2 linked regions of the Mus musculus genome follow. The protein of the gene in region 1 purifies or fractionates together with the protein of each later gene. This does not show direct contact. Links are inferred from orthologs where the notes say so. Each region holds a gene or a part of one and is shown on either strand. Other genes may lie near its edges.

What was found.
Region 2: the proteins of Cfap20 (region 1) and Clasrp purify together in Homo sapiens (affinity purification with mass spectrometry; 3 studies listed by BioGRID and IntAct, counting the BioPlex papers as one, with this or other methods). This does not show direct contact. The link is inferred for Mus musculus from reciprocal best matches to the Homo sapiens genes CFAP20 and CLASRP.

Annotation. Positions count from the first base shown.
Region 1 is NC_000074.6:95,431,062-95,437,558, forward strand, and holds the start of Cfap20 (cilia- and flagella-associated protein 20), read right to left. Parts: upstream 3,809-6,497; 5' UTR 3,511-3,808; coding exon 3,427-3,510; intron 1-3,426. UniProt on the Homo sapiens protein: Cilium- and flagellum-specific protein that plays a role in axonemal structure organization and motility. Microtubule inner protein (MIP) part of the dynein-decorated doublet microtubules (DMTs) in cilia axoneme, which is required for motile cilia beating.
Region 2 is NC_000073.6:19,582,852-19,588,817, reverse strand, and holds part of Clasrp (CLK4-associating serine/arginine rich protein), read left to right. Parts: coding exon 1-72; intron 73-153; coding exon 154-227; intron 228-951; coding exon 952-993; intron 994-1,890; coding exon 1,891-2,106; intron 2,107-2,207; coding exon 2,208-2,477; intron 2,478-3,470; coding exon 3,471-3,728; intron 3,729-3,994; coding exon 3,995-4,034; exon of another isoform or gene 4,035-4,287; coding exon 4,288-4,348; intron 4,349-4,475; coding exon 4,476-4,534; intron 4,535-4,616; coding exon 4,617-4,663; intron 4,664-5,966. UniProt on the Homo sapiens protein: Probably functions as an alternative splicing regulator. May regulate the mRNA splicing of genes such as CLK1. May act by regulating members of the CLK kinase family.

The sequences.
Region 1 (6,497 bases):
GAAAGAACTGACTCCTACAACTTGTCCTTTGACTTCTATGGACACAGGCAAGAAGATATGCCTGTGTGTGAGTGTACACACACACACACACCAAAAATGTAGTGACTTTTTTTTTTAAATTCTGGAGAGGGTCTTTATTCTTCCTTAAAATAAGAAATGGGGACCCAGTCATTATGACTACTTAACAAGATCAACAAAAGACTCTGATACAGTCACATTCCATGGAGAAACATTAGCAGCTGGGAGGGAGGAGGAGAGAGCAGCACTCACAAATCAGCCCAATGGGCTTCTAGTAGCAACACAAGCCAGTGCCGTGGGCAGCCAGTGCCATGGGCTCCCAGTGCCATGGGCAGCCAGCGCCATGGGCTCCCAGTGCCATGGGCAGCCAGTGCCATGGGCAGCCAGTGCCATGGGCTCCCAGTGCCATGGGCAGCCAGTGCCATGGGCAGCCAGTGCCATGGGCAGCCAGTGCCATGGGCAGCCAGTGCCATGGGCAGCCAGTGCCATGGGCAGCCAGTGCCATGGGCTCCCAGTGCCATGGGCAGCCAGTGCCATGGGCAGCCAGTGCCATGGGCAGCCAGTGCCATGGGCTCCCAGTGCCATGGGCAGCCAGTGCCATGGGCTCCCAGTGCCATGGGCAGCCAGTGCCATGGGCAGCCAGTGCCATGGGCAGCCAGCGCCATGGGCTCCCAGTGCAGCAGCAAAGCCGACTGACACTCACGCAGTGCAGTGCAGGAGGAGCAACATTCTTCGTTTTATTTCTGTTTTGAGACAGTACATCATTAAGTCACCCTAGCTAGGATTTGCTATTATGTTCACCAGGCTAGACTCAGACTCCCAGAGACTCATCTAATTAAAGTTGTACCCATCCAGCCCTAACATTCTTAATAAAGGTAGTCGGATCTGTTGGTTCCAGAAGTAAAGGGACATTAAAGAACCTGTTGATTTTTTTCTAAGCTCTTGGTCTGAAAGCCAACAAAGATCTGTCTCAGCTCTTAACTAAGTCCCAGTGTGGGGACAGGAGGATGAAGAGGCTGGGAGCTGATAAAATGACCCTGTGGGGTCAAGGCAAGCATCAGAGGCACTGCTACCTCTGCTCTGTGACCAAAGACCAAGGAAGATGTGGGTGAAGGCCAGGAGCACCAAGTGCGTGCGGGAGGTTTTGCGTGCAGAGCGCTTCATGGCCTCCATGCAGCAGGAGCCTGTCTCTAAGGAGGGAGTGGAACCGGTGAGTGAGCCTGGACAACTAGTTAGTCTCAGCGCTGCCTCAGTGCCACATTAGAGGTTTAGGAGAGGAAAAGCCAAAGGACAATGACTACATCACCTTAATTTCAGAAGCCTAAGCAGATGCTACACCTAATCTTTCAAGATCGTTTTTCATAGAAACCAAATAGGCATTTTCTCTGTGCACAAACGCAAAAGTCAGAATAGTAAATACTTGTGATATCAAAATAAGGACTCAAAATAATCATCCCAGTCAGTGTGTAGTGCCTCCTGGCAAAGGGCCAAGGCACAGGTTGGTAATGTAGACAGCCCTGTCGCCCCTACCCTACAACCAGACTCTGACCTTATTACAGCTTTGCCTTAGTTCCCAGGAGAAGGGTGATTTTCTTTGTACAAGGCCTATCACTCAGATGTTGCTCAATAAATCATTGATAAACATGACCAACTCCAGTGTTTCCTTGACTGGACTGCATCCCCAGTTACTGAGATCGCTTAACTGAGGAAAAGCCTGAATACAATAAAGCTGATGTGGATAGGCCTAAACTTCTTCTTTTTCTCTTGCCCCCTCTTGCCTCAGTTGGAGAAAACTTCTCCCTTAAACACTAGTTTGTCAAATCCAAACAAGAGTTAGAAACGTAATTAATTCCTGTTTTTGCAAGAATGTCTGTTTAATTTGCTCCATGTGACTCTGCCCTAATAATGTTGTGTATGTTGTTTATGTCATCAGGGTACCACTGGACCTTTAGAGGCGTTGTTAAGGGACACAGTGCACCATGGTTACTCTGCTTTCTATGCCATGTGTAAACATGTTGACTAGTCAAAAACTCGGGCTTGAAAGAATAAAACACATCACAGAGAAAAGCCAGGGGGTAAATGAACCCTCTGATAGACGCTCCGACACTTCTTTCCCATCTCAAAACAGCATGTTCTCCAGCCCTGTTCTGACTGCTTTACACCAACACTTCAGACAGCTCAGTTTCCAAGTTCAAGCAGCACACAAGCCTGCTCTCTCTCTGTGCCCTCTGGCTGTGCAGAACAGGCAAGATACCAAGGCTGGTGAGCACCCTCCCAACACTGCCAGGTGGACTGTCTCTGGGTTCTCCCTGCAGGTCTCATTTAAGAGCTCCTGCTGCTTCATTTCAAAGTGAACGAACACTCAGGAGATTGTGGGATGGGGGGAGCTAAGGGTCCGCTTCCTATGGGATACTCTTGACATAACTCTAGCTATGGATCTGAAAGAGTTGGTCAGACTGCTTACATACCAAAGGCCAGATCTTGAGGAACTCTCAACTGTCTTAGCCAAATGACAAGACACTCCCAACAGGTTTCTCTCAAAGCTGTCCTCAGAACACACGACTGCCTAGCAGTGACAAACAGAAGGCAATGCAGGTACTCTGTCAACCACTGTGTGTCTCAAAGCCCTTCTCTGTGAATTAGGAAAGACATTGTTCTAGTCCTACTACGAATAATCTTGACTTACTCCACCCATTCTATATACATCTCTATGAACACCACACTAGGCATATCACCTCTCTCCATCTTCCCCAGCCGAGGGCAGAACTAAAGATATTCCCTAAATCACCTGGCTTCCACATTAGAGTGACCACTTTATATTCAAAAACAAAACAAAACAAAAAAACGGTCCAGCTCACTGCCCCAGGAATCTTCATGAGAAAAGAAACGGCAAGGCATTTCATCTAGATCTTAATATCTCCAAAAGTGAACAGGGAAGGCCACCATCTCATGTGGCAAGCAAAAACACCATCCATTCTAGAGGACGGCTGGATAAAAATACAGAGGCTTGATACTGGCTCTCGAGAAGCCCCTAACAATCACCTTTTTGCAGGTTTCCCAATGGAGAAGGCCAGTACAGGAAGAATAGTACGGACTCTAAGTTACAGAGGGCTCGCAGCAAGTTCCAAAGGTTTGGCTGTCGACGGATGGAGCTAATGAATGGGATCAGAACAAGTCTGGCTTGGCCGGTGCTCAGGATGTCCGGGGAAAAGGCCCTCCGTATGGAGTGCAGCAACAGTGCTTGGCACCAGCGAACACATGCATGTCTTTCTTCAAAGTGCTATGCGTTTCAAGCTAGGCTGTGGGCACTCTGCCCCCATTCTACTGACCGGGACGTCAAGGCTCGGTAGCCACTCCATCACGTGGGCGGCTAGTCGGCCCCACCCCCGTCCCGCCCCCACCGCTCACCTTTTTGTCCCAGATCTGCAGGGGCTTGCTGCCGATGCTGTAGAGGATGGAAAGGAAGCCACTCTGGAACGTGTTCTTGAACATCTCGCCAGCCGCGGCCCCGCAGCCGCCGCCCTAGGCCCGGGATTGGAGATCGGCACCGAGCGGCGAAAGAGAGCGGGTGCCGCCGGTCCGAAGGTAGGACGCTGAGAGCTGCAGCCACTGACGGCGGGAAGCGGCGGCGTGACGCAGATCCGTAAGCCTCGGTGAGCACCGAGCCACCTCAGCACCGAAACCACAGCAACTGCCGCCCGCGCCGCCGAGCCTGCCGGAGAGGAGGCGGAGCGCCGCCTCGGCCCGCCACGGATCCCTCCGCACGCTTGGGCCCGCCCCTCGGAGGCGCATTGCCCAGTCCTGCCGCAGAAAGAACGGTTTCCGGTTCCTTCCGCCCTTAGGCCCGCCCCTTCCTGCCCCCTCGGGCGCGGAACTTGGTTGCCAAGGGACTATTCCCCGCCCCTCCCCGCCGGGGCCCAGACTTGGTTTAGAACAGCGGAAGGAGACTTTAAGTTTACCTCACGTGTTTACAGTGCCTGCGTGGTGTCATGGGAACCGGGAGGCGCGTGGAGGGGTGGAGTCATGCCAGACCCCTCCCCCGAAGGGCGGGAAGAGTGAGGAAGGTGGCTTTGTGCCAACGACAGATAAATATTATCCCTGGGTGTGTTGACTCCAGATTTTAATCCTAGTACCGGATTAAATCCCAGCAGAGGTAGAAAGATCTCTGAATTTGAGGTCTACATATCGAGCTCCAGGACAGCCAGGACTCAGAGACACCCTGTCGCAAAAAACAAATATTGGTTGGCCCAGGAGAACGTGTGAGCTAATGAACCAGTATTGATTGCCCAATTTACATCATCACCTTTAATTATCAAGTTACAGTGAATGAGCTGCTGTAAAAGCAATACTCTGGGGGAAAGCGTATCTCTTTAAATGCATTGATTCGAAAAGAAGAAAGCCGGAATATTAAGATATAAACAAAAATTAATAAAATCTTAAAAGTGGAATAGTTGAGTTGAACCGACAGCTGATTTTTTTAAAAAAAGTGTGTCAATTTCTGGAATATTGTAGGAAAGACATACGCTGTGTATTTCAAGTAGAAGGAAATCTCAAGTGTGGAAGACTTCCACCAGTCGCTGAGCGTCTTCCTAAATGGTGTTCCACCCAGGCCTGTGTTCTGGCGCACAGAAAAGAGTTTGAAGCACAGACGATCACTTTAGCAATTTTAACGATCATAGTTGCAAAGTTTACACATTTACTATGTGACGGGTATATGTGATGCCTTACCCTGTATTAACTCACTCTACCCTCACACCAAAGCTTTGAGTACTCCAGCCAGAATTTCTAGATATCGTGAAAACTATGTGAATCTATTACTATATAAAAATGAAACTTGTTATATGGAATTAATTTTTGCATGATATCTGGGAATTCTTTATGTACTCTAAGCCAAGTGAATAATTTATAGCTTGATTGTTTTTAAGTTGTTCAAAATATCCTCGGGGCTGGAGAGATGGCTCCGCTGTTAAGAGCACTGGTTGCTCATCCAAAGATCCTGAGTTCAATTCCCAGCAACCCCATGGTGGCTCACAACCATCTGTAATGGGAACTGATGCCCTCTTCTGGCCTGAAGGTGTACATACAGATAGAGAACTCAGAAACAAAACATAAATAAATAGAAATCTTAAACAAAATCCTCAGGAAAAAGATTCAAGATAAGAAATGATGGTATACACTGGAAGGAGAGGCCCATTGGACTTGCAAACTTTATATGCCCCAGTACAGGAGAACGCCAGGGCCAAAAAGTGGGAGTGGGTGGGTAGGGGAGTCGGGGGGAGGGTATGGGGACTTTTGGGATAGCATTGGAAATGTAAATGAGGAAAATACCTAATAAAAAATATAAAAAAAGAGAAATGATGGTATATGAGTTCTGATGGTGATTTCAATACTGCACATAACTAACCACTTGGCGTCTTATAGAAAGTAAATTATTTCTAAAAATAATTCAGCAGTACTAAGTCTGGAAATAGAAAATGGAATGAGTAATAGAAAATTAAGGTGATAACTAAGCCCCTCAGAAGGTTCTGAGCCCTGTCTCATTTTTTTCTGATTAATGTAATATAGATATTGAGGAAACTATAAAAAGTAACATTTATAATATCACCATTTGGAAATAATTGTATGCCTCTCTATTGTCTCCACACCTCCCTGCATTGCCCTCCTTCTCGGCCCGCATCCCACCACATATTAATGTGTGCAGGTAGCCACGGAAGCTGTCTTTGTCCTAAAACAGACAAGAACTGAGCACAGCATCCCTTGCTGTGGTTGTTAAGATCCATCCTTTGGGCCAGTGGGTGTGGAATCCGTCACTGTCCTCCCAGGTAGGCATCTACATTTATCTCTCCCCTTCTCCAGGAATGGCCATCTTTATGCATATTCCACTTAAAAAAAACCAGATGAGAATTTCTTTGGCTTGCATGTCTGCTCTAGAGTAACTAGATCTCAATAAACACACATGTTCAATTTGACCAAACAGCTCTTACAAATCATGTAGCCATTTACATTCCCATAGACAATGCTTATAGTCACAATTCCTGTTAGTCTGTTTTCTTAAATTTACAAGTCTGAACTATATACATGTTGGTTTGGCTTATTTTTCATTTTCTGATGACTAATATTCTGGCTCATCTCATCATGGGCATTTAAAATTAATTTAAAGTCACTTCTTTCTTTCTTTTTTCTTTTCTTTTTTTTTTTTTTGGTATATATACTTGTATGGGTGCTTTTCCTGCATGGATGTCTGTGCACCTCTCATGCGTCTATAGAGGCCAGAAGAGGGCCTGGAATTACAGAGAGTTGTGAGCCATCCTGTGGGAACTAGGAATCTTACTGGAAGAGCAGCCAGTGAGTGCTCTTAACCACTGAGCCATTTCTCCCACCCCTCTTCACAGGTATTTGAATTGCTTTTATTTGGGGCTGGCAAGAGGATTTAGTTGGTAAAGACACCTGGCACCAAGCCTGGTGATCCGACTCACTTG
Region 2 (5,966 bases), on another chromosome or scaffold:
CGGAAAGATAAGGAGGAGGCAGAGGCCATCAAACATGCCAAAGCCCTGGAGGAGGAGAAAGCCATGTACTCGGTGAGGTCTGGTAGGGCTCGGGGGTAAAAGTGGATCCAGTGAGGGCACACCTCACCGTCCTGGTGCTTCCTCCCCATCCAGGGCCGTCGTTCCCGGCGACAGCGAAGAGAGTTCCGGGAGAAGCGGCTGAGAGGCCGCAAGATCAGCCCTCCCAGGTAGGATATCTCCTCTGCACAGCCAGGGGCTGGAGAGTGGAGCCCAGCCTTGGCAGTGGGGCGACAGTTACAGAGCTAGGAGTAGCTGGAGGCATGGGAATGCTTCCCGGGCCACCTGCCCCCCACCTCTCAGTCAACCTGCTGGGCCCAACACAGCCCACCTGCACTGGTCAGTGTCATCTCTACAGGGTCTAGATAAGAGGCTCCTTTCTTCTGGCTAGTTTCCTCCATTGTAAAGTGGAGAGAGGCTACTTCCCACAATGAAGTCTTGAGAGGATTGGGAGAGCAGTTGCATATGAGTAGAGAAGAATCTGGGCCTGGGAGCCCTGGGCAAATGTCTGAGGAAGGTTTGGGTGTGACAGTGTAAGGTTAGCAGCAGGCCACAGGCCCCTCCACACAGGGCACTGCCACCAGAGGACGTTACTTACCCTCACAGGGACCGCTCCTCCCCTATGAAGAGTGTGAATCCTCAGACTCAGATACTGCACTGAGTTAGTTGGACATACTGTTGTTTTCTCGCCAGCACTGATGTCACCATGCTGGGTACTGGTCACCATGGCTTCCAGTGTAGCACTGGCAGCACCAGGGCTGTAATAAGGAGACCAATGTGGGATCCCCACAATGACATGGGGTGTACAATCTGCAGCACTGGGGCTCAGAGTGGAATAGTTGACACTAGCCAGCCTGGTCTCAGCTCTCCTGCCCTTCCCTGTTCTCTCCATAGTTATGCCCGCCGAGACAGCCCCACCTATGACCCCTATAAGCGGTAAGTGTCAGTGCTCTGGAAGAAGTCACTCCTGTTTGGGTCACTCCTGTTACAGATGGCATCCTGTGGTCTATGGATAGGGGTTGGGTCTATATCAGTTTTGTTTTTCCAAATTTTTTTTTTAATTTAGAATCTCTTTAGGACATAAAGGGGCATAGAGATTGGGTGTGTTTAACACACGACTCCCAGAATTAGTGAGAAACTCCCCTCACTCTCTGCTAAGGCCAGGGAGTGGGGCCTTTTGTGTTGGCCTGCTTTTCCCTAAAGGGAGTCCCACTAGGCTCAGTGTTTCATGGGCTGGAATTAGCTGAGGACCTCCTCTCCAGGTTAAGCAGGAAGACCTCACTGTGTTTTGCTACCGTTCTAGGGCTGAAACCCAAGGTCTCTTGCATCGGCAAAGCCTTCTTTGCACTACACCGTCTTTCATTTTACTAGCACAGAAAGCCAGCTACTTTTGTTTTGTTTTGTTGTTGTTTATTGAGACATGGACTCTTGGTACTCTCTATGTAGACTAGGCTGGCCTCTACCCCTACTACCCCCTGCCCATTTTCTTTTGTGAAAAATTATATTTATCAGTCTGGGTGGGGTTGGTGCACATGTGCCACAGAGCTGAAGGTAAAAGGACAGCTTAGTTCTCTTTCTACCCTACTGTGTGGATTCTGAGATTGACCTCGGGTTGTCAGGCTTGCAGGCAAGAGCCTTCCCACCTGCAGAACCATCGCACCAGCCAGAAACTTAGTAATTTTTTCTTTTTTCTGGAGACAAGTTCTCTCTATGTAGCTCTTGTCCTCGCTTTTGATGTATACCAGGCTGGCTTTGAACTCACACATCCCACTAGGGCCCTGGTGCAGCTGGGGCTCTGAGTGCTGCCTCCCTTTTGCTCATCCTTCGCTGCAGGTCACCTTCAGAATCTAGTTCCGAGTCCCGCTCCCGCTCTCGCTCCCCGAGCCCAGGCCGCGAGGAAAAAATCACTTTCATCACCAGTTTTGGAGGCAGCGACGAGGAGGCAGCTGCTGCAGCTGCTGCAGCCGCCGCATCCGGGGCTGCCCCAGGGAAGCCCCCTGCGCCTCCCCAAACGGGTGGCCCCGCTCCAGGCCGTAATGCCAGCACCCGGTCGGTAACGCTCACGCCCGCCCTAGCGGACCTCCGGGAGGAGGGACGGGCCCTCTAGGACAGTGTCGCTCACAAACCCTGTTTTCCCCGTGCTCCCACAGCCGCCGCTCCTCTTCGTCCTCCGCCTCCAGGACCTCCAGCTCCCGATCCAGTTCGCGCTCCAGTTCGCGCTCCCGCCGTGGCTATTACCGCTCTGGCCGCCACGCACGCTCCCGCTCCCGCTCCTGGTCCCGCTCACGCTCCCGTTCCCGGCGCTACTCACGCTCCCGCAGCCGCGGACGGCGGCACTCAGACGGCGGTTCCCGCGACGGACACCGCTACTCACGCTCCCCTGCCCGGCGCGGCGGGTACGTGCCCCGCCGAAGGAGCAGGTCTGTGACTTATGTTAAGGAGCAGGAGTGTTAGGGGGGAGGCGGGCTGGGGACAGACCAGGCCAGCCCCTCTTCTCTTGGGAAGCACCTGATTGGAAGCAGGACAGGGTAGGTACCAAAGTATGGGGCGGGGCATGGAGGTATCTCCTTGGCTTTTACCTGGACTTCCCAGACTGCTGGACCTGGGAACCTCTGGGCTGGCCAGGCAACAGTCTTTGAAGAAGAGGCTGAGCGTCCATGTTGCCAGGCGTCTTCCCTGTAGCATGACCACAGGGGAAAGGCAGGGGCGGGGGAATGGGGCTACCACAAATTGAATGCCAGCCTGGGTGTGACTGCTTTCTTGAGAATCCTACCAGTACTCCAAGCGGGGAAACCCTGGGGTTCTCAGGGGACCAATGAGCTTGGGCTGTGGCTATTTTTAGGTTTGGTTGGGGAAAGCAGCGGTAGAGAGTTTGGATAGGGCTAGGCTTAGTGACAGAGCTGGAATGTCTTCATCTGTAGAACAGACACAACTATGGGGGTATCAGTCATTAACTGACTGGGAGCCCTTCCTTATCTTTCTGTTGCTCTAAGGAGGCTGAGCGTCCATGTTGCCAGGCGTCTTCCCTGTAGCATGACCACAGGGGAAAGGCAGGGGCGGGGGAATGGGGCTACCACAAATTGAATGCCAGCCTGGGTGTGACTGCTTTCTTGAGAATCCTACCAGTACTCCAAGCGGGGAAACCCTGGGGCTGTGCAGAGCGGAGCTTGGTATGGGACAGGGAGCAGAGTGAGGCATCTGAATGCCCCGAGCTCCCCCAGGATGTTAGCACCTGAGGGAGAGGGTGTGGGGTGCTGACTGTTCTAGAAGGTGGCCAGGGAGCAGCTGGGGCTTTCTGAGGGAAGTGTGTGGGGAAAGTGCTGGACTCTGCAGGAGGCCTAGCGATTTGGGAATTGGGGTGACTTCCTGTAGGTCCCTGAGGCCTCACAGCTCTCCACCTCTGCTACACCTAGGAGCCGCTCCCGTTCAGGTGACCGCTATAAGCGGGGTGCCCGGGGCCCCAGGCACCATAGCAGCAGTCATAGCCGCAGCAGCTGGTCCCTCAGCCCTTCCCGAAGCCGCAGTGTGACCCGGAGCGGAAGCCGCAGCCAGAGCCGGAGCCGAAGCCGCAGCCAGAGCCACAGCCAGAGCCAGAGTCACTCACCATCGCCCCCAAGGGAGAAGCTGACCAGGCCGGCAGCGTCCCCTGCTGTGGGCGAGAAGCTGAAAAAGTGAGTTAGGAGCCTGGCTGGTTCTGAGGGAGCCCTGATGAAATTCATTTTGAAGGGACTGTGACAGTACCCTGGCTATTGTGAGAGGTGTGTGCACTGCAGTGTAGGGTGAGTGCTGTTGTGGCCTTGCCTTGAGTAGGCTGTCAGAGAGGGATATGGCCCTGTCTGGGCTCTGGGGGTCAGGGACATATCCTGAGGAATCTGGAGCCCATGGCCGATGCCAGTGCCTATGGTAACGGTGGCATTGCCATTTTCTCTCAACCCAGGACCGAGCCTGCCGCTGGTAAAGAGACAGGAGCTGCCAAAGTCAGTAAGAATTTGGAACTCGCCCGTCTAACTCCCGTCAGCAGCAGTGTCCAGAGCTGGGCCCGGTGGGCCTGCAGGGGGCCCAGGGGGAGGGGAGAGCCAGCCCAGAGACTGGGGAAGGGCTACCCAGGCAAACTAAGTCCCATCCCTGCCTCCCATGGGACTCCAGCTGGCCCCCAAGTCCCAGACTCTTGACTGAGGTGGGCTGGGCGAGCTCTGGGCACCCACGCCTATCCCACCCCTTCTCCCCCAGCCCAAGCTGACCCCACAGGAGAGGCTGAAGCTTCGGATGCAGAAGGCTCTGAACCGCCAGTGTAAGTCCTGCCTCCAATCCAGCCAATGCCGTGGGGAGAGTGGGCTGACCTCTCTTGAGCCTGCCTGAGCAGGTCAGGTTGGCATGGGACTGAGCACAGCCCTCAACCTCACACTCTCCCTCCACAGTCAAGGCGGATAAGAAGGCAGCTCAGGAGAAGATGATCCAGCAGGAGCATGAGCGGCAGGTCGGGCTGTGCTCCTCGGATGGGCAGGGCACACAGGTGGAGTGGGGGGCTGGACCACCTCTCACAGCTGTTTCTGCTGCAGGAGCGAGAGGATGAACTGCGAGCCATGGCCCGAAAGATCCGAATGAAGTAAGGCCCCAACCTGTGGTCCACCCAGCAGCCTCCTTTTGGAGTCCTCTGGCTCCTTTCACTGGTCCTGAAATCCATTGCCATTGCTGTCCCCTTCCCCCTGGTGGCCTGTTCACCTTCTGACCTCATGTCTGAGCAGCATCCTAAAACGCCCTGACCTCCCTATGCCTGGCAGCTGTGTCCTTGGCGACTGACGCCTCACAGTGCTGAAGTGAGGCTGCCTGTGGCAGGTCTCAGCCCAGGAGCTTTTCCCCCTTCTCCCCCTTCTCTCCCTTCCACCACTCTGTGTTAGGCAGAGTTAGAGCCTGGGCCTAGGGGTTTAGCTTCAGGTATCCTAGTCTCTGATCAGGTGGCTCTGGGGTGGGGACTCATCCCCTCAGTGCCCACCAAATTAGGCAGCTAGGAGTACTACTGGAAGACCTCAGTTGGCCCAGGGCTCTTTGGCAGAGCCTGGGCTGTTGCATTGTGTATTGGCAAAGAGGGGAGCTAGTCAGGGCTGGGCCTGTTCTGTCAGTTCTTTCTGCTGTAGTGGAGGAACAAACATTTTGCTTTTTTGAGCTCAGTTGTTTTCCTCTGTGGAACAGTGGTGAGGATGGCTCCTATCTCTGTGGTAAGCCATGACAGCCAAATGTGCTGTGGGAGGGCCAGCTCCTGCTTTGTCATTTCTTTTTTGGGGGCGGGGGTTTGGTGTTTTGAGACAGGGTTTCTCTGTGTAGCCCTGGCTGTCCTGGAACTCACTCTGTAGACCAGGCTGGCCTCAAACTCAGAAATCCTCCTGCCTCTGCCTCCCGAGTGCTGGGATTAAAGGCGTGCACCACCACGCCTGGCGTCATTTCTTTACAATATATAATTTGCCCTTTTGTTTTTCTTTTTTGAGATAAGTGTCTGAGTGTAGATCTGGGTAGCCTGTAACTCACTCTGTGGCCCAGATTACCTTTGAATTCATAGCAGTCCTGCTTCATCTCCCCAAGAGCTGTGATTACAGGCATGGAAGACCTATCTGTCTTGGTGTGAGGAGGAGGAGGGGGAGGGGGAGGGAGGGGAAGGGGTGGGGGAGGCAGGACGGTGGTGGCGCACGCCTTTAATCCCAGCAGAGGCAGGTGGATTTCTGAGTTCGAGGCCAGCCTGGTCTACAAAGTGAGTTCCAGGACAGCCAGGGCTGCACAGAGAAACCCTGTCTCGAAAAACCAAGGGGGGGGGGAGAACGAGCCAGCCAGCTAGAATGAGAGGGAGCATGAGCAGCCAGTGCACATGTGTGTGCGGGGAGGCCAGGGGATAACTTGTAGATACCAGGACTTTCCTT